Caenorhabditis elegans: one gene and its partners. The protein of the gene in region 1 interacts with the protein of each later gene in a pairwise test. Each region holds a gene or a part of one and is shown on either strand. Other genes may lie near its edges.

The links. Proteins that work in one complex are often made in the same cells at the same time.
Region 2: the proteins of Y69H2.3 (region 1) and nhr-184 interact in a two-hybrid assay, tested with the Caenorhabditis elegans proteins (one large-scale study listed by BioGRID).
Region 3: the proteins of Y69H2.3 (region 1) and F53A9.6 interact in a two-hybrid assay, tested with the Caenorhabditis elegans proteins (one large-scale study listed by BioGRID).

The regions. Positions count from the first base shown.
Region 1 is NC_003283.11:18,660,769-18,666,692, reverse strand, and holds the start of Y69H2.3 (Follistatin-like domain-containing protein), read left to right. Parts: upstream 1-2,566; 5' UTR 2,567-2,596; coding exon 2,597-2,663; intron 2,664-2,705; coding exon 2,706-2,782; intron 2,783-2,831; coding exon 2,832-2,967; intron 2,968-3,881; coding exon 3,882-4,076; intron 4,077-4,142; coding exon 4,143-4,334; intron 4,335-4,379; coding exon 4,380-4,574; intron 4,575-4,981; coding exon 4,982-5,071; intron 5,072-5,515; coding exon 5,516-5,605; intron 5,606-5,712; coding exon of another isoform or gene 5,713-5,850; intron 5,851-5,900; coding exon of another isoform or gene 5,901-5,924.
Region 2 is NC_003283.11:2,211,672-2,216,769, forward strand, and holds nhr-184 (Nuclear Hormone Receptor family), read right to left. Parts: upstream 2,808-5,098; 5' UTR 2,790-2,807; coding exon 2,608-2,789; intron 2,562-2,607; coding exon 2,503-2,561; intron 2,456-2,502; coding exon 2,256-2,455; exon of another isoform or gene 2,142-2,255; coding exon 1,920-2,141; intron 1,868-1,919; coding exon 1,677-1,867; intron 1,632-1,676; coding exon 1,262-1,631; 3' UTR 1,200-1,261; downstream 1-1,199. Other genes in the region: Nuclear hormone receptor family member nhr-133, read right to left, coding at 1-51, 103-161, 224-402; nstp-8 (Nucleotide Sugar TransPorter family), read left to right, coding at 4,053-4,121, 4,187-4,282, 4,328-4,425, 4,469-4,607.
Region 3 is NC_003284.9:8,712,345-8,716,189, reverse strand, and holds F53A9.6 (Spore coat protein), read left to right. Parts: upstream 1-2,385; coding exon 2,386-2,646; downstream 2,647-3,845.

The DNA.
Region 1 (5,924 bases):
CTCTAGAAACAATCCATTTTGAATTTCCCGCCAAAAATATTTTCTCCAAAAATTTGAATTTCCGCCAAAAAAATTTTTCTCAGAAAATTTGAATTTTCCGCCAAATTATTTTTCTCCAAAAATTTGAATTTCCGCCAAAAAAAATTTTCTCAGAAAATTTGAATTTTCCGCCAAAAAAAATTTTCACCAAAAATTTTTTTTTTCAGAAAAATTGAATTTCCCACCAAAGTATTATTTCTCAGAAAGTTTGAATTTCCCGCCAAAACATTTTCCAAGGGTCTCACCACAAAAAGAGCCAAACCCCGCCAATACAATATTTTTCAAAATTAACATCAAAAATCCCAAATTTCTTGCAGAAAATGTTTATTTAATCAGCTTTTCATCTTTGATTTCAGCCAGCTTTTTCACATGAAATCATATAAACAAATGGTGACACAGTGCAAATATTTACGCTTCTAAATATATAAAATCATAGAAAATTTGATGAGAAAATCGAGTTTTTGACCTTCAAAAAGTGCTAAATTTGGCAAAAAATAGTCGATTTCAAACGAAAATTTTGTAGAAAAATTTAAAAATTCCTTCATAAAAATGGTTGAAATTAGAATTTTCCTATTCAAAAATGTCTGAAATTTCCAATTACCAATGTAAAAACGTCTGAAATTTTAATTTTCTAATTGCAAAATGTCAGAAATTTCAGTTTTTCTATTGAACTTTTCATTTCCTATAACCCGAAACATCCAAAAAACAATAAATTCTGCCAAAAACCGCCAAATTTTCAGTTTTTTTGCCGGTTTTTTCTCCAAAAGTAGTCCCAAAACCCCATTTTCTCGAAAATTTTACATTTTTCTCAAATTTTCTATCAGAAAATTCAATTTTCCCGCCAAACCCCCCTACAAATCCCAATCTCCACACATCATTTACAAAAAAAAACGTGTAAAAAATGTGTGGGAGATCAAAAAATAAAAGATTTGGCGGGTTGGGGGATTAACCCTTCAATTTCCGTTTTTTCTAGTCAACTCGCGCGTGTTCATTTAATCCAAAAATCCACTACAACTTTGTGAATTTCGTTAGATTTTCGTTTATTTTTTTGTTGGTTCGAAATATTGATTTTGTCTCGTCATTTAGTCGTATAATTTTAGTACTCAAGTGTAGTTTGTAGTTTGTAGTGAAACTGCCCATGCTGTCCCATTTCGGTTTGATCTACCCCCCAGATCTACAAGAATTGCGGGAATTTAGACGCAGAGTTCTCAAATGATTTTCAAAAACTTGCAGAAATTTCAAATTTCCTATACAAAAATATCTGAAAAACTGATTTTCCTGTAGAAAAACGTCTGAAAAATCGATTTTTATATGTAAAAAATTTCTGAAATTTCGAATTTCCTATATAAAAATCTCTAAACATTTCACATTTCTTATGTAAAAATGTTTGAAAAAGTGATATTCCAGTAGAAAAATGGCAGAAATTTCAAATTTTCTATGTAAAAATGCATGAAATTTCAAACTGTTATGAAAAAATATCCTAAAAATATGATTTTCCAGTATAAAATGTCCTAAATTTCAAATTTTTTGTATAGAAATCTGAAATATTGAATTTCTCATGTGAAAATATCTGAAAAATTGATTTTCTAGCAGAAAATGCCGGAAATTTTGAATTTTTTAGTACAAAAACGTAAAAAATTTGAACTTCCTATATAAAAAATTCTTGAAGTTTCAGATTTCATGTTTAAAAATGTCTAGAAAATTGATTTTCCTGTAAAAAAAACGTTTGAACTTTCAAATTTTCTATGTAAAAATGTCTAAAATTTCCATTTATTCATTTAAAAGTGGCCGAAATCCTGAATTTCACAGTTCAAAATACCGGAAAAATACATTTTTCAGTCGAAACATGTCTCAAATTTTGAATTTTTTTATATAAAAAATTTCTGAAAAAAGTGATTTTCCAGTAGAAAAATGGCAGAAATTCTGAATTTCCTATGTAAAAATTCCTGAAATTTCGAATTTTCAGTGTAAAAATATTTGAAATTTTGAGTTTCCTGTAAAATAATGTCTCAAAATTTGATTTGTCTATATAAAAAATGCCGTAAATTTCCAATTTCCTATGTAAAAATATCTGAAAAGTTGATTTTTCCTATGTAAAATTGTCTGAAATTCATAGATTTTTTCTATAATTTTTTTTTGGAAAAAACAGTTCAAACTACATATTTAAACTTGAAAACATATCAAAAAATATTTACTTTGAACAATAGTTTTTTCCCGAAAATTCCATGTTTTTTTGCAATATTTGCATATTGTTTTCAAGTTTTCTGTAACTTCGAATGTTGTTTTTCTTTAAACTCCCCATTTTTTCCCAGCAATTTCTGCAAAATTTCCAATCTTTTGACCCCAAAAATCATCAAAACACAGACATTTTTTTTTGTTTACTTTCTCCTTTTCTCTCTCAAAACATAATGTTTTCCGCACTTTTGATGTCTGATTTCTCGATTTTCTGGTTTTTTTATTATAATGTTTTTCCTGAAACTTTATGTTTTGGTTCGCATAAAAATGCTATAAAATGGCGTGATTTTATAGTTTTCCAGAGTTTCCGAGTTTCGGAGCGATGCAGTATATTGTGCTGCTCAGCGTTCTGCTCATCGGAGCAAACGCTCAACTTTCAGCGACAAGAGGTAAGTTTTTCCAACCTAAAAGTGTACCTAAACCCCTTTCAGACCAAGAATGCAAAGAAAACGAGAGCTTCCAGACGTGTGGCACGGCTTGCGAGCCGACTTGCGGGCTTCCGACTCCGGTGAGCAGATTTTGTTGTCAAATTCCGGCTTACAACGTGGTTTTTGCAGACTTTTTGCACACTGCAATGCGTCATGGGATGTCAGTGTAACAGTGGATTCTTCCGCAGAACTTCGGATAATCGTTGTGTTGAGCAGAAGGACTGCAATGTTGCGGCGAATGAGACGATTCCAATTCCACCACCAGGTTAGAAGGGGACACAGACTAAAATTTGGGCCGGGCTACGCAGTCTCGGAATCTGAAATTTTGGGTCCGCTAGTACATCAGAGTTTCCAGACAAGGCCCAATCTCTAAGGCCGCACTGGCCCTACAGACAATGGCCCGGAGTTCGAAACGGGTATCTAGACCCAGAGCTTGGGGGTATCAGCCTCCTGACTTTGTGGGCGCCAAGCCCAGAGTTCAAGGGTCCCAGGCCCAGAGTTCGGGGGTACCTGCCCCAAATTTTGGGGATACCGAAAGACTAAATTTTGGGCCGGGCTGCACACGGAGTCCTGGAATCTGATGTTTTGGAGCGCGGGGTCCGCTTGAAAATCAGATCTTCCTGACAAGGCCCATTCTCTAAGGCATCTCAGGCCCTACAGACACTGGCCCGGAGTTCGAAACGGGTATCTAGACCCAGGTACCAGCCCCCAGAGTTCATGGATCTTAGGCCCAGAGTTCAGGGGTGCCAGGCCCAAAGTTCAGAGGTCCCCAGCCCAGAGTTCAGGGATACCAGCTCCACAGTTCAGGGTCCCCAGCCACAGAGTTCATGGGTTCCAGGCCCAGATTTCGTGGGTACCTGGCCCAGAGCTCGGGGACTGCCGGACCCAGAGTTAAAGAATACCAAGCCTTGAGCTCCACGGTAACAAGCCCAGAGCTCCACGGTACCGAGCCCAGATCGTGGGTACCAGTGCCAGACTTCAAGGGTAACAAGCCCAGAGTTAATGGGTCACAGGCCCAGAGTTCATGGGTACCAAGCTCAGAGCTTGGGGTACCGAGCCCAGATCGTGGGTACCAGCGCCAGACTTCAAGGGTGCCAAGCACAAACCTACCAGGCATCCTAAAGCCTCCAAACCAAGACCCCCGACCCCAAACCCCTCTAACCCCCCACCAATTTCCAGCCACCAACCTCACATGCCCAGTCAACGAGGTATCCAACGAGTGCCACAACCCATGCACCGAGAAGAAGTGCCCACAAAAGAATGCTCCACAGGTGAACTGCTTGATGGCCTGCCAAGTCGGATGCTCCTGCATGGACGGATTCGTCAGAAACAACCAAGGAGTGTGTGTCAAGGAGGCCGAGTGCCCAGCGATTGGTAAGTACTCTAAAAATTGGACGAAAAAATGCACCAGAATTGCGCCACCGCACTGCAACTTTCCAGGCTCTCAAACCTGCGGAACCAACGAGGAGCCCAACCAGTGTCACAACGCGTGCTTCGAGAAAAAGTGTCCGGTTAAGCCCCAGCCACTGGTAAACTGTATGGAGAAATGCGACATCGGATGTTCCTGCAAAAAGGGATTCCTCCGGAACCGCCAGGGACAGTGTGTGAACCCTACCGAGTGTCCGGCTACTGGTGGGTACCGTTTTAAAGGAAACTAGTTAGAGCCAGTGATTCTAGGCTCCACACTGACTTGCTCCAAGAATGAGGAGCCCAATGACTGTCACAATTCGTGCTCCGAGGCAAAATGTCCTGTCAATCCACAGCCATTTGTTAGGTGCATGATGAGGTGCGAAAAAGCATGCTCTTGCAAGAAGGGACTCGTTAGGAACCGGCAGGGACAGTGTGTGAAGCTTGCAGAGTGCCCACCGACTGGTTAGTAGGGCTGAAGCCTAGTTCTAGTGGCTTTAGGGGTCTCGAGTGAATTTTCGGGCAAAAAGTCATGTTAAATAGGCTTCTGGCAAAGTTTTGATGAAAATATCTAAGAAAATTGAGCTGAGCTCAGTTTTAGAGAGTTTTAGCAAGTTTGGTGTCTTGAAACGAATTTTTGCGGCATTTTTGACTCCGCTGTTGATTTTTAGAACAATTTTGCGATTATGAGCAGGTTTGCATCAAAATTGATGTAAATCTAGGCCTTTCAACAAAAGTTTTAGTTTTTGGACCAAAATTTCGGTGCAAAAAACGACTTGACCCCTTTTTTCGACAAATCCGGAGCAATTTTCCTATTTTGGGGCAGTTTTGAGCAGAATTTTTTGATTTTCCCCTACAAATGTGGTTTCCAGGCAAGACTGACACAAACCCATGTGCCTTGGTACTCTGCAAGCCCGGTCACCGATGCACCATGTCAACTGGCCAGGCAACTTGTGTGCCAGGTATCATTTTTTCTGTCCGCGGGCGCTGGTTTGGTGCGGTTCTTTGCTAAAATTCTGAGAATTTGGTGTCCTGAAATGGACTTGGATGGAATTTTGACAAATTTGTGGATTTTCGGAACGATTTTCACATTTTGGGACAGTTTTGGACCAATTTTATGGGGATATTGGCTTTTGACATACTTTTTGGCAGTTTTTTGACGAAAACGTTTTTTTGGCACACATTTTGGTTTAACGTGCGAGTTTCAACAAATCTGCCAACTTTCGGCACATTTTTGAATCAATTTTGAAGGTTTGGGGTTGTTTTTGACGCAAAAATCGGGATTTTAGCTTGTTTTCATGCCAAAATCATGATGCAACGACGTAATGACTTGACGCAATCCTGGTGCATACCCTGCGACTCAAAATATACGAATTTTCCGACTCTAACATATAAATTGTTTCCAGGCAGCACTGACGAGAACCCATGCAACTTGGTGGACTGCCGTACCGGTCACCAATGCTCCATGTCAACTGGCAAGCCGACTTGTGTACCAGGTATCGCTTTAGGATTTGGGGAAATCGGGAACTTTCTGTTGAATTCGGCTAGATTTTCAGTACTTTTATTCCTATCCTTGAGTTTTCTAACACCCAAAAAATTAAAGTGAGAACCGCGCCAGAGACCCCACCAACCGGGATCACGTGCGCCAACGTCAGATGCGGATTCAAGGGAGGTTGTGGAATGGTTGAGCCCGTCGGATGCGTGGGTTGCAAGCGTCAGCCACAGTGTTTGGAGGAGGACTGTGAGTTTTTAGGCAGAAAAAAATTCAGTTAAAATCGTCGAAATTTTCAGATTGCCGCGCCCAGAACTGTCCCT
Region 2 (5,098 bases), about 16 Mb from region 1:
AGTTCGTTGGACGGAGGGAAGACGAAATGAGGTCCCGGTCGTTTTGAAATTCTGTAAATGACATGAAATTAATTTCATTCTATTCGTTTAAAAAATACCCACTGCTCGAGTTCATCCCAACTTCACAACACTTTTTCAACCGACAGATTTTACAGCGATATCTGAAATTTTTTACAATTTTAATTTTTCAAGTTTTCAGCTTCTACACAAAAAAAACACTTACAAATCATTTCCAATGCAATTTCCCTTTCTGCAAACTCTATCCTGATATTTTGCATTTTGAAGTGCGGCTCTTCGGAAAAATGCGGCACACGCTCGGCAACTGAGCACACCGAAATGATTGCCGTGAGCCGGTTGCTCGCAGATCTCGCATGGCCCGGAAAGGTAGAGGGCAGGTGGCATTTTTAGTTATACATAAAACACGTGAAAGAACGATGATCAATGGTAGTGTAGAACCGATAAAACGTGCCGAGAGACGCAGACTGTTGAAGGAAAGGAAAATAAATAGACTGCGGTTTTAGGGTGTAGGGAATATCAAAAGATCAACAAATAAAAATAGAGTGCCGTTATATAATAGTCCAATAAGTACAAATTCCATAAAAACACAAAACCTGTTAGGTTTTTCAAAATTTTCAGTCAAAAAATCTCAAAAAAGTTGGGCAAGTTTTAAAATTTTTTTTGGTCATTTTAAAACGCATGGGTGGTTTTTTTTTAAATTTATCCCTGACAATACTTGAAAGAAAAAGTTAGAAAAACATTTTAAATGCTAAATTATAGCAGCGAACTTCCAAAGTTCAGTGAGAGTTTTTTAGTTTTCTCAATGGAAAACAGCAGTTCTAGAAATAACAAAATTTGATATCTTAAAGGCGGAGTAGCGTCAGTCGTGATTTTGCCTAAATATACTTATTATGATCCAAAATGACCAAATATTATAATAAAACACTCGAAAAAATTTTAGATTTTTCATAATTTCCGGTCAAAGTTTTGTCCAGTTGCCAAAATTTTTGACTGAGTAATTGTCACTTTTTGACAGCAAATAAACAATTTTCAAAAAAAAATCTTTGAATGGTTTTATTATGATATTCGGCCACTTTGGCACCATCGGAGTAGTTTTTAACACTTTCCCCCACTGGCGCTACTCCACCTTTAAAAGTGATGATTGAATAAAAATTTAATTTTTCATTCAAAATTCGATTTTTTTTAAATCAAGGATACATTCATTAGTAAGTTGTTTAACAAAAATTTTATTGTCAATTATTAATCAAGTGCCCTCAAACATTTCCGGATGCGAATAAACAATTGAAAACAGGTCAAAAACTTCGACAATCTTCGCTTTTTCCTTTCTCTCCCTCACATCTTCCTCGACAATTTGGTTGATTTTCATCAGTTTTGTCAATCGTCCAGAGTATGATGGCATGTTCAACTTTTTGGTATAATAATTATGCAAATTATCTGCATTGATTTGCAAGAGCTTATCAGTTGCCTCTAGGACACGTCCTTGAAATTTCTTGCCAGCATCGTTAAGGCAGAGTTGAATGAGCATGAAGTTGAGCTCCATATCTGTTGGGTTGAGCTTCACGAGGTCTTCCACTGGCTGTCTCCAATGCTTATCAATATTTGGCATTAGGAATCTGTAAAATTTTCTCTTAAGAAAATTTAAAAAACCTGAAACTTACGCTTGCATTTGCTCTGCACCGTAATTGGTACACCAGCTCCAGTCAACATTGATATCCTGCACATTCAGACAAGTGTTTTCTGAGCACATAAAAATGTTTGCACCCATTTCTTTAATTCTTTGATTTTGTGCTGTTTCAGCTAGCTTGTTCAGTCGAATCCAAAGCATCCACGTGGATTTTAGTATTTCCAGCTGGAAAATTACAGACTTTGTTGGCTCGAAATTTAAATACCGAATACCATACCTTAACACGAAGATCCAGACTTGTAAAATCTGGAAGTCTTGCGTACCAGTTCGCGGTCGCCAAGAACATTTGCTCGAAAAAGACAAGCGATTCAGCTTTCCCAATATTCCGCACAATTTTTACTTTATGATTTGAGCTTCTTAACCGCAAGTCTTCCATTTCCAATGTGAGCTTTTCCAGGCTATTGCTGTATTTGTAGGGCATTGGTGAGTTGGCTAGGTCCTTAAAATTGCACAATAGCGAGCAACCGACAAATTACAGGACGGCAAAATTTGATGCGAAAAAAACATCAATTGGCCCGTGAAGTGTCGGCTTGTGCCAAAAAATAACCTTTACCTCCTGGAAAATTTCTGCAGCTTTGTGAACCAAATCCGTCACATCTATCACTGTCTTGAAAGGAGAAGCCTTTTCGGGCTCGAAACTTATTATGAATTCGGGCCGCCCGAGAAAGTTTGCCAAACTTTGTGGAGCATAAACTTTCGTGCGTTTAAGGTATGCATTGGAGCTTGAAATAAGGTCACGGTCCTTTTGAAATTCTGAACATTTAGATATTAAAATTTTTTAAAAATTCTTTTTAACCCACTACTTGCGTCCATTCCGACTTTGTAGCACTTTTTCAGTCGGCAAATTTTACAGCGATATCTAGAAAATTTGAAGTTTTTTTTTTCAATTTCCAGCAAACACATACGCTCCAGCATCAAAAATCCGGCAATCCCCATATTCACAGGCTTTATCTTGAAACCGAGGACTTCGAGAAGCTCTTCTGAAAAATGCGGCGCAAGCTCGGCAACTGAGCACACCGAAATGGTTTCCGTGAGCTGGTAGATCACAAATTTTACACGGTCCTGAGATGAGAAGGGCTGCTGGCATTTTGTCGTCTGAATTGCTAAAGATTTGTTCAATTTTTTTTTGAGAAAAATATTGGCGGGAAAATCAAATTTTCTCAAAAAAAATATGGCGGGAAAATCAAATTTTCTTGAAAAATACTTGGCGGGAAATTCAAAATTTCTAAAAAAGAATATGGGCGGGAAATTCAAAATTCCTCAGTAAACAATTAAGCTGGAAATTCAAATTTTTGTTAAAAAATAATTGGCGGTAAATCAAAATTTTCTCAAAAAACTATTTTTGGGAGAAATTAAATTCAAAATATTTTTGCGGGAAATTTAAATTTTCTACAAAAATATATAATGGTAATCAATAAAAAAAATTAAATAAAAAGTCCAATACATATCAGTTGACAGAAAACTAAATACATACTAGACATATAAAATGGAAACCAATGATCGGAGACGCAGACTGCTAAAGCAAGGCCTGGTGGGGTTTGAAGCAACATCAGCGTCAATAGAAAAAGTTGCCAAGAGTGACGAAACTACGAAAATGCTTACATAATGTGAATGAATAATTTAAGACAAGGAACAAATCTCCCCATTTTTTAAAAATTCAGTCTAGGCCAGGCTTGTTTGATGTTTGAAAAATCACACCAAAAAATGCGAATTTTTTTCCGATTAAAAAAATTTTTGACGGGATCTTGAAAATCTGGAGTTTTTATAATAAAAAAATGAGTAGTAATGACCGAATATAAATGTAAAAAAATGTATTAAAAGTTATTGAAATTTTGGAGATTTTTTTTGTTGGAAAAATCAGTGTATTTTTTTAGAAATTTTGAACCGCCTTAAAAAATTCTTCAAAAATTTCTAAGAAGTTTCATTACAAAATTCGTTCATTTGAGCACATTTTGGGCCTATACGCTCAAAATCGTCAGAACCGTTAGTCCTCCTTCAAATTAAAAAAAGGAAAAAAATTGAAGAACATTTTTGAAAATTTGGAAAATTGAGGTATTATACTCAAGATTTTTTTAGAAAAATTTTGAAATTTTAAATAATTAGAGTTAAACCGGATAAAAACATGTCTAACAAAAAACGAAGCGACAAATAAAAAAAAGGAAAATTTCACTAGACTTTTGAGAGGAAAATCTGATTTTTTCTGCGATACCAGGCGCAGCCTACATATTATTATCGCACGATCTTGAATCCTGAAAAGCCAATATATTTCCTATTGATTCGATTTGTTGCTTATTCTTTAAATACATTTGCTGTATTTGTAACTCTCTGAAAATTTAATTTTCAGTGCAAAATGAGTGATGTGAAACATCAAATTTTGGATCTAGAGATTGATAAGAAAGTCAAATCGAGTTCTAGTTCGGTACGCCAATTTTTTTAAAATTTCATTTTTTAATTCATGATAGCTTGGAAATTAGTTAATTTTAGATCATTCAAGGGTTATGCTCAATTCAACTTTTATCTATGATCGCAGTTACCGCACACCACACAGCCATGCCATTTTTTGTACAAATGGCTAATACGGTAAGGATCTTAATTTTCAATTGCCAAGAAAAAATCACTATTCAGAGCCATTTCCTTCCGACAACTTCGGTTTTTATGATGGAAGTTTTGAAGTTATTATTTTGCCTGATAATTGTTTTATTTAAAACAAAAAGTTTTGAGAAGTAAGATTCTGGGGAAAAAAGTAATGTTCCAACACACTTACAGAACTGGCAAAAAGCTATACGAACACATTTGGAAAAATCGAGTGGAAACCTTGAAAGTGTCGGTTCCAGCAGTGGTATATGCTATTCAGAACAATTTATACTACATTGCACTCGCGAATATTGATGCGACAACTTATTCGGTAATTTTTGCCCAAAATGAAATTAAGAAAATATGGGATCAATATACCAAATTCAAACTGTAAAAAATTTTTTAGAAATTTTTAAATTTAGTATGATTTTTTTTTGAATTCTTCATACAAATCACCTAAATTTTGGCATTTTTACAAAATGTTTAATTTTTCTTGGCAATTTTTATTGGGTTTTCATAGTTTTCATTAGTTTATTTAATTTTGGCACTGTTTGTCTTTTTTTTTAAATTATGTTTTTGAAAAGAAAATTTGGTAATCTCTAAGAAAAACGCTGAAACATTGAAATTGATCCAATTTCTTTGTAGAAAAATGTCCGAAAATGTGACAAATAATAATTCAAATTATGATATACAAACAAAACCGAGAAAATAAAATTTTAATCCTAATTATGCCAAAATGCCAAAATCTTAGTTGACTTACGCGAAAACTCAAAAATGATTCAGCACTTATAAGTTTATATTCTAAGTTGATATTTAAAAAGA
Region 3 (3,845 bases), on another chromosome or scaffold:
TTTAGCCATTAATAGCAACTGTTGAACGATGCGTTAAATTTTGAAGTATGAAAAATGGAAGTTTTCGATGTTCGAAAAATCATATGTTGCCGAATGTTACAACGATTAGCCGACATTTTCCATTAATTCTCAATTTCGACAAATGCGAAGTTTCCCTTTGCTCGAAAATATTGTTGGTCATTCACTCCTGGTCATATGCTGTCGAATCAAAAACTGGGGAGAATCAAAAAAATCAAAAAAATCAATGTGGATGTATGTTGATGTAGAGAATCAATCCGCATTGTCGGAAGTACAGTGTGACACAAAGAAATATTAGAGCAGTGGTGTCAACAGCAGTTCAATTGGATTGTCAGGCCAAATATTCTCGTTCACAATCAGTAAGGAACAAAATCTTAATTTTCGTTAGACTATCACTAATTTTATGTCTAGCTCTTTCTTCTCTTTTCCTTTCTTCACTTTCTTGGGAGTGTCGAAAGACCTCTCTTTCGATGATCAAATATCAATAATATCAAATAGTTTTCTCCTGTATTGTTAATTCCGATTAACATATTAGATGCTAATCACCTCTTATGTGTTCATTTACATATTATTCCAATCCATATAAAAACCCAAGAGAACTCAGTAGATGTATGTTTGATGTAGGATGTATGTTGATGTAGAGATATGATATAATTTCCTTCTAAAGCGCTTCGACTGATATTTTCTGTTTATTTTTATTATTTACATCAATAAATCCTTTTATTATTGCCTACCGTTATTAAAGGAAGAAAGAAAAAAGAAAGAAACTTATCCGAAAGGATAAGTGTTCACATATGCTTCGTCCATTCATTACAAAAATATAATAATTTTACAGAATATACCAATTAGTTATGTTGAACATAATGCATTCGGAAGAGTTTTTACAACAAAAATGAAATAACTCTTTTAAAAAATTATTCATTTTAATTTCTGTGACGAAGATAGATAATCTTTTCAGAAAGACTTGGTCCCATTCCATAATAGATATATTATTGATTCAGTTCTTTTTTCATTCAGTTGTTTGTGAACACAAAACCCAATAAAGTTATTCGATACTGACATTTGTCTAGTGTAAAGTTCAGTTTCCAATGTGTTATCTGCCCAACCTATCAAGAAAGAAACGCTTAACCTTTCCGTGCAGCCAATTTGACATTAAGCACTGAAGAATTATTAAATGCATACTAGAATTTAACAGGAACTAATTGACAAACAGTTTACCTTTAGAACAAAGACTAATTTCCAATCAAAAATAATTGTTTTAAAGAAGTAACTGAGCCCAAAATAAATACCCTGACAACTGTAACTAAGGAAAACAAGTCAATTATATTGTCTACGGAAAACACACAAATAAAAATGATCATATTGGGTTGAATTACGACTCAAATAGTCTATCATGCTCTTTTGATATTGCTTTTTGGTCAAAAAACAGTCCCTCGCAACGAATATACGTGAAAAGCAAATGACAAAGCCACGGATACGTGTACAATGGATAATTTATTGAGTGTCACAAGTGTTCCAAAAATCTGAAAAACTTATTGATCTAAATACTTGAGATATAACTTGATTTCAATGTTTTATTGTTGACAAGGACTGTTTTACTCTGTTTTTTTTCTACTGCAATTACTAATATTCAACGTGTCACGCATAGGTTGTGATTTTATTTTATTTTGAGAAATTCAGTGATATTTTAAGAACACGTCAAATGAAAACGTCAGACTATTACATTAATGGAAACATCGGAAAATAACAAAGGTTCGCTCGTAGAATGCGCATCGCATGTCTTACAATATCTCAAAAGATATCTGATCTGATCACTATTTTATTATCAAAATGTTCAACCCATTTGATATAACATGTATGAAACAAAAAATATTATTGTTTTAAAAAACTTTCCAATGTGACGATCATTTTCATCATACTTCAACATCATGAGGGAGGAACTGGTCTTCTGGATCATTCTCTCCCATTTGGCCTATGAGTAACACCCGTTCCGCTCCTTTAGTTTGTTTGAGCTTCTTTGTCGTTTTGAACAAGAAAGGTGACTAACAAATAAGGCAAACAAAAATATCATCACACCCTCTTATAAACTTATCGAGCGTCAAAAAATGGAGGAGGGCCAAATGCCACCAGCGCATGATAATTTAAACGTTTTATCACTTATGACGTGTGTCCTCCATTGAATAGATTGCTCAAATACTCAAACGCGAAGACCATACTCCATCAGTTTTTCAGCTTTCCATCTAAAAATAGGTCCTTTTTTGGATAAACCTATTTTTCAAAACTGTTCAAAATCTTCTTTTTATCTTATTTCTTGATGTACATTATTTTACCAATCCTTTTTTACTAACTTATTGATTTTTAGAAATAATGTCGTACTACGGAAACGGAGGATACAACGCTCCATACGGAGGACACGGAGGATATGCTCCACCACCAGTCCACGGAGCTCCAGGATACATGCCACCAACTGTTCATGTCCACACTGACGGAGGACACCACGGACATATGGACACCCATCACCACCATGACAGCCACCATCATGGAGGACACCATGGAGGACATCACGGAGGACACTACGAAAGCCATTATGAAAGCCATCATCATCATGGACACCATGGACATCATTAAATGTGATGCAATTTTGTAAAATTTTTGCACTAAGCTGTTAACCTTCCCATATGATCCTACTAACAATAAATGCTTTACAGTTTATTTGAAAAAGATTTTGCAAAAAGATTTAACAAAAAGCATAAACCATGGAAAATCTATTTGGAACTGTTATCCCTTTTTGTTTTTAATTTTTTAATTTAAAAATAACAAAATTTTCCTAAACGCGTAAAACAAATAAGCACGGCAATTTTCAGACTTCATCAAATTTATTCGGTGTAACATAAAATTCAAATAGTTTTGCCAATAGTGGGACCGTCAAGTTTAACTTTATCCAAAGCTCCATACAGCATTCTCTCACTTACAATATTTCAGAAAAAATAATTTCTTCTTGCGACTTTTGTTAAGCGAATAAATCCTTCAAAAATTAAAAATATATTGATTTTTTCAGTTCAGTTTTTTGTCTAGCTGTTTATTCTCCTTTGAAGTCTTTGAAATTTCAAAGTTCCAAATTCGAATCATGATTTGATTTGATTTTTCGTTTTGTTTTGATTTTTTGATTTAGCATTCAAAATTCTGACATTTCCCAAAAGCCTAAGCTATTAGCAATTTTAAAGCAATTCTGAAAAGACCGAATACAAAACATGACATTAAAATGTCATGTGCACACTAAAGATTACGATTTATTTTTAAGCACGCTTTGCGTTTTATGTGACTTGACACTTCTTATCAGTCTGATTTTATGTTTTGTTAGCTTCACCGTAGTTCAAGGACAAAACTCAAGGAATGATTTAAGGAACAAAAATGAAACGTCTGAGAGGTACGGTATGAGCAAATACAAATTCTTTTGACCGAACATTTATTGTGTTTTACGATGGCTCCGCTTCTAATCGGTATTGCAGTCAGACCATAAAATATTTTAAATGCGGGATCAACTAGGAGAAAAAGTAAAACATGTCAAATAGGTGCAATTTTGAATTAACATAATTGAAAAACTAAAGTGAAGATTATAGCGGCTTCTTTAAAAATCCTAAGATTTGATCACTAATGTACATTTTTTGTTGTTGTTCGATAAGTGTTTGGGTGAACAATGATTTCAAAGTCGGAAACGATTGAAGTATTAATTGAACATTATCTGTTGTGTACAACGTTTAGACACATTTAAATTCAACGAAACATGCGTTTTTGTTTTTACGTTTTTTTTTCTAACTGTAAGTTTG